Linked DNA regions of Xenopus tropicalis. The protein of the gene in region 2 interacts with the protein of the main gene of each other region in a pairwise test. Links are inferred from orthologs where the notes say so. Each region holds a gene or a part of one and is shown on either strand. Other genes may lie near its edges.

The links.
Region 1: the proteins of tnni3 (region 2) and tnnc2 interact in binary tests that used the Homo sapiens proteins (3 or more experiments, as listed by UniProt). The two-hybrid records come from large-scale screens. The link is inferred for Xenopus tropicalis from reciprocal best matches to the Homo sapiens genes TNNI3 and TNNC2.

What each region holds. Positions count from the first base shown.
Region 1 is NC_030686.2:19,690,885-19,694,520, forward strand, and holds the end of tnnc2 (troponin C, skeletal muscle), read right to left. Parts: intron 3,468-3,636; coding exon 3,413-3,467; intron 2,069-3,412; coding exon 1,925-2,068; intron 1,654-1,924; coding exon 1,539-1,653; intron 1,386-1,538; coding exon 1,249-1,385; intron 1,163-1,248; coding exon 1,131-1,162; 3' UTR 520-1,130; downstream 1-519. UniProt on the Homo sapiens protein: Troponin is the central regulatory protein of striated muscle contraction. Tn consists of three components: Tn-I which is the inhibitor of actomyosin ATPase, Tn-T which contains the binding site for tropomyosin and Tn-C.
Region 2 is NC_030683.2:104,561,763-104,564,570, reverse strand, and holds the end of tnni3 (troponin I, cardiac muscle), read right to left. Parts: intron 1,717-2,808; coding exon 1,531-1,716; intron 1,422-1,530; coding exon 1,320-1,421; intron 878-1,319; 3' UTR 594-877; downstream 1-593. UniProt on the Homo sapiens protein: Troponin I is the inhibitory subunit of troponin, the thin filament regulatory complex which confers calcium-sensitivity to striated muscle actomyosin ATPase activity.

The DNA.
Region 1 (3,636 bases), on a different chromosome or scaffold from region 2:
CGGGGTATAACACTAAATACAGAAGACCATACAACATTCTCGTTGGACACATTTTCTACCCCAATTTTTTCTTCTACTAGTAGTAATCTATTATATTGAGTAGTGGCTGTCCTTGCTGGAGAGAAGACCTTGGTGGGTGGGGATGGAACAGCTGTCTATTCATTGCCCTACAGGCAAATTGTAAATATATTCTTTCCGTGAAAGGGGGGTTTTATAGTTTTTTGGTACTGTCAGTTTCTTTATATCCAGTTGGGAGGGCTTCCCTTTAATATCAATTAAGCCTGTTCATATAGGCAGAGCAGCTTCAAAAGCAATGCTAATATTATACCACCATCTTTTCCTTTCGTTGCTTTCGTTCCTGCGAGTATAAATAGCATTCAGTACAACTGGGTGTACCATAATCTAACCCACAGGCCTAAAAATATACAGGTCTCCCTACTATAGTTTGACCTAATTAACTGACCTGACAATAACGGGACAACTGTTCTGTCATAAGAAATGACCACACTACAAGTCTTCTCAAAATACATCACCCTTTTTATTTACATGCTGAATTGTATGAATGTGAAAATAACGGATATGCAAAAATATTAGTGCTTTCCACTGTGTCTACGTGTCAGCATGAGGTTGGCAGCTTCTGTGTTATTATTAGGCAAACTAGACAGCCCTCTAGGGTGGAATGGGGTAGCCATAAGCTAGTGTGTCTCAAAACTTTTTAATGCTGCTATTTATGTGAGCATTGAGCAAAAAAAGATACTGCTACATTTGCTTTGCACCACAAATAGATATCTAAAGGAGTTTCTATCCTCTTCTGAGTATGAATGCAGCCCAGAGATAGCAAAGGTTCACTAAGAGTTTTAATGGTAACTGTAATTTTTTTTTATAAATAACATATGAGTCAGAAAAACAGGAAGATGAAGAGGGTAGAGAGCCTGATAGTAAACAGTGGATTAAGAGGTTCTCTGCAGGATGCAAGGTGGCCATAGAGAGTAATGTACACATCAGAAGCGAGGAGGATTGTGGGAGGTACAGTAAAAGAGCAGGATGACTTGCTCCTTCCTGAAATGTAAGTAAGACGCAGTGTAATGTACAGGTTGGCGTCACAACGCTCCAGAGGAATGTCCTACTGCTTACTGCACACCTTCCATCATCTTCAAGAACTCTACAAAGATAAAGGTATAGGCATTAAGTATATGTGGAGAGCCAATAATACCAAATGCATTTTTTTTCAATGGGTTGCAAACTCACCATCAAAGTCAATTTTGCCATCGTTGTTTTTGTCTCCATCTTTCATAAGCTCCTCAATCTCCTCATCTGTTATGCTCTCACCTGAGGAACGGAGGATTTCAGCTAACTCCTCGCCATCAATGTACCCATCAGCATTCCTGCAGAGCAGAGAAATGTCAGAGGCCACAAAAGGACACAATATGGTGGAGATTTAGTACAAAGATAGACACTAGGTGCTAGCACACATACAAAAATGAACTGAAAGACATAGCATACATAAATCCCATAAGGTGAATTAGGGGTGGACTTACTTGTCAAAAATGCGGAAGCACTCAGCCAACTCCTCTTCACTTTTGCCCTGCGCATCCTCTTTCATCTGGCGCACCATCATGACTAAGAACTCCTCAAAGTCGATAGTGCCGCTGCCTGTAAGATAACACCAATTACACCTCCATTTGACAACCACTCTGTGTTAACTATTCAACTGGCAATATCCCAACAGACCTCACTTATTGTGAATTGTTGGTTCATCTTAGGGATCACTCAAGAAAACAGATTCAAGCACTATGGTACTTCAGACTAAAAGAACACATTAAACATGTTCTCTTAAATGGCTCTCTTATGGCTTTTGGTGTAAGTACAACTCTATTGTCACACATTAATTTCCTACTAAGTATTCAAGTTTCTAAAAACTCACCATCCTCATCTACTTCCTCAATGATGGCATCCAACTCCTCCTTGGTTGGGTTCTGTCCTAACATCCTCATGACAGTTCCCAACTCCTTGGTGCTGATATCACCGCCACCATCAGTGTCAAACATGTCAAAGGCAGCCTTGAACTCTGCACAGAGAATAAAAAAAAAATCAGAAATCTTCTGTGTGCCACTCCAGGTTATCCCCTTCCTTCACCATTTTAAGTGCATTGATCTCAAATGAATCTTTGACTTGCCTTTTTACTGGAGCATGAACCTAAAATGTTCCTTCTATCCAATAATACCTTTTATTATCTGTCTTTCCTATTATAGCCTTTTCCTACATTCCCACCTTAAATTTTCATTCTTCACTCAATCTTCTTTTATTCAATCTCACACCTTACAACCTACTTTAACTGTTTATCATTCACTCAGTCACTTCATAATCTAAAAGACACATTGTTCCTTTTTCACCAAAAATCATGAACTGTTCCACTTTGAAGGTTAATGACAGGCTAAAATGTCATTGGCCCTCTTGTTCAATAAACCATATTGCCTTCAATGCCTACCCATCTACAAAAGTGTTAAGGATGAAAGAGTTAAGGAGAAAAGGGAATGAAGAAAATAGAGTGAAAAGGGGGGGAAAAAATAAGAGGGCAGAAGTGGAAATTCTTTACCCCTTATATTCTTACATTTATTAAACCTTCACATCACCTCCTTCCTTCATTATCACCAAATTTTTGCACAATTCATTGCATTTTTCTAAGCTACAGCATGTCAGTTACATAATGTCCATTATTCTCTCTTATTTCCAGGCATCTGGATGTTAAGGTAGAAATTTGTTCAACATTTTCTCATCATGACTCATCCCCTATAATTCTATGAAGCTTATTGCCCTGGTACTCAAATTTACAACAAACAATCAGCAGTTAGTATTGTGCCTGCAATGGGTTAATAGGTTGCATGTGTGTCTGTATATAACCCTATGTAGATTGTGCTTTATAACTAGAACCATTTGTATCTTCTTTTTTGTTTTTCTATTTACATAGCTTATTTCCCCTTTCCTTATCCCTTCCTCAGGAGAAACTATGAATGAGCCTATTTCCCCTTTCCCTATGCCTTCCTCAAGGAGAAACTATGAAAAGCTAAAAATGTGTATTATTATGTGTGATATCTGTGTAAAACCTCCTTCCCTGTTCTTTTTATATTTTCTTAGGTATTCTTTTCCTCCATTATGCACAAAATACTGATGTTTTCATGGGTGGAGGCCTTATATTTATCAATCTAGCCATCCCCACGTGCCCATACATACAGGCAGAATAAGAAGTGCAATTATCTGCACCTAACAGGAGACATACACACTGAATCAGACATACATACAGACTCCTACACACCTACCTGCACAAATGCTCTGTTTTCACAAAAAGTAATTAAACCTGGCACAAAATAATATAGTCTAGAGATAGAAAAGGAAACCATGAAACAGGACATACCAGCAATCATTTCCTCGCTGAGGAAGGACCTCGCATCTTGCTGTTGGTCTGTAGGCTGCAAATCAAAGATAAGGTGTCAATCAATGCTGGAAAAATAAAGCAAGTTTTCTTCCCGCCACCCCATTTTGCCATTCTTTATCATTTGGAGCAGAATACAATACAAAAATATAAAAAAGGGTAAGGGTTGCTGTCCCAATTGACTGTTGGTGCCATTCTACATATAG
Region 2 (2,808 bases):
CCTGTGGCCCTGTTTAGCCTAGTGTCACAAGCAGGTAGAGAAAATATCAATCCACTTATGGGGCCGACTTCTGCTTGAAAACTAATTGAAATTAAGCATTTTTTTGCACTAATATCTGCCTTGTGTGTGCACTGACCAGTGACGTAACTACCCCCCAGTTAGGCCTGTCGAAGTAACTGCACACTCCTGCCAGAATCACTGTGCCGAGGCCCGAAGGTGAGGAGTACATGGAACTTCTTCTGGTAAGGGGCCAGGCTGTAGGGGGGGGGGTTCCATTATGTACCAGGGCCAGTGGTCCAGTAGTTACGCCACTGGCACTAATAGATAAATACCATACATGCCAATGCATACTAAAGTCAGCAAAGAAAGCAGAGGATCAGTCTTTTGCAAGTGGAGAATATGCCTTGAGAGACATTGCCCTTAAGCAGGCCATACACAGGGACATTTAAGCTGCCAGTTCTGCCCCTCTAGTTGCCAATTTATGTGCCTGGGTATGGGCCCTGCTCAGATGCCTCTCTGACAGATGTCAGGCTTGGCCAGGCCCTTATTAAACAACGCTCACTGGCTGAGTGATTGAGACAAGATAGCTTAGCTGATAACTACAATATATCATTTAATGAGTTGCTTCGTCACAGAACAGTGGCAAGAAATAATTAGCTGTGCTGCAAGAAACAGAAATAATTCACTCTGCCAGTAGTTACATATTTGGGTAGAAGAATGAGGATTCAAACAACAGATACAGGCAGCCATGATATTCTCTGACAGGATGCTTTATTAGGGTCCCAGCTCTGGCCATTGCTGAGTAACAGCCTTGGTACACAAACGTAGAAGAATTGTCCAGTTTCAGTCCAGAAGTGACTTCCATTTGAAATCTCTCCTAAAAAGAACAATATGTATATAAATTCCATGCTTTCCTGGTGGTTTGGGTTGCATGCCAAGCTACGCAGGTCAGTGATGGGGTACCAAATAAGCCATATGTGACCATAAAGGATTAAGTAGAGGGGAAAAGGAAACATCACTCTTAGTTTGTCATTTTTTATGAATGAGAGCACATGCAGCACAGAGGCCTGGGTTAGCTCATTATACAGAGATCATTCTTGCTGCTTTTAATGGAAGCAAATGTCTGAAGCTTTAGTATTTTTTCCTATTTGCTTCAGACAGAGAAAGAGAGGTTTGTTTAGCAAGATATCATGCCCTGCCCATACTGTAGGGAACATATATTGCTGACTAATAATATAAAAATACTATAAAATACCAGGACATTATATGGTATTAGTACTAGTAAATATAAAAGTAACAGTATATTAAGTAATGCCTACTTAAACTGGGACAGCTCCAGTGGATTCAAACTTCTTCTTCCTGCCCTCCATACCACTCAGGGCATCAACGTTCTTTCTCCAGTCTCCTACTTCTCTTATATCCTAAAAGACAGGATTTTCTAGTAAAATAGCCTGCTGTATAGAATTTATAGAGACAATGACAAAATTGCTGAATTGATGTCACCACGCAAACTGGGGACACATAACTTACCTTGTCTGCGTCATCCTTTTTGGTTTGCTTGACCTGCTTGAGATTAGCCCGTAGGTCCATAGAGACTTTGTGCTTGGTGCCCAACAGCGCCCGCATCATGGCATCGGCAGAAAGGCGCACCCTCCTGAGGTTTGGCTTTTTAAACTTGCCACGGAGGTCAAAGATCTTTAAATTCAAGTCTTCAATCTGAAAGGACACAACAGGGTGCAGCCTGGTGATATATATATATGGATAATACAAGTTTGGCCCTATTTTTTGGGTATCAAAATGGGAGACTGGGAATGAATTGCAATAATTCAGGGGTTTATTTACTACCCTGTAGTTAATGGCGGGAATCTCACTGCTAGGAAAAGAGCACTTCTTGTTCAGAACTTTCCCTTCTTTAGCTAGGAAGATATCCTTATGTGAACCTTGCTCACTTTGGAACTGAACCTCAGCCCCCACCCAGTGACTGACTGGCCTGCTGGGATACTGGGGAATATCCTGGTGGCCTCCAGTCTCAGTAGGCTCCTTTACCTCTGACCCTTGTGCTCTCTCGACCTATTAGTTCACAACCACTGCCCCATCAGCCAATCGTTCTTTGTAGAGAGCATGCCAGCTGGAGTAACTCCTCCCTGAAACCCAAAGCTAATCTGAGTGAATGCAAATATGAATGTAGTTTTATTATACACAGTTATTGGGATGGGGCTTGGAATCAGGTTCTGTAATGAGTCCTTGATGTCCCCCACATCCAGCTCTTCTATCATTCTTTTAGCTTGGCTCCTAGTTATATTACCACACGTGCTGCCAATGGCAAAACCGAGACCCACTTATGAAAAACTTAAAGGAGAAGGCAAGCCAAAATTTATAAATGGTACCATTGAATAGTGCTACAATTGATAAACAAAAACTTATAAAATCTTACTTGAAAGTTTGAGCTCCATGTAAAGAATGGTGTGGCCATCTTGGAAGTGGTATGCCCACTTCACTGTCTACACTGCGCATGCGCAACCTTCTTCCCCCCCGGCGCGCGCCCTCCTGTGCGCATGCGAAACCTTCCCTCCCCCCAGCCTAGGCGTGCGTCTGTGTGGGCGCGCCTGATAACACATACTAGCAGCGCAGGCACGCCCGAACCTCTCCGCTCGTCGCTCCTGTTATTAATATTGTAAGTAATCACCTGCCTGCCTATCTGTCCATCTGTTTTCCTGTCTGCTCTTACTGTTATGGTCACATCTATTCATGTTGTGTTGAACAACATTTTTTTTTCAATCTGATTTTGTTTGTTTGCCTGAGAAGGAA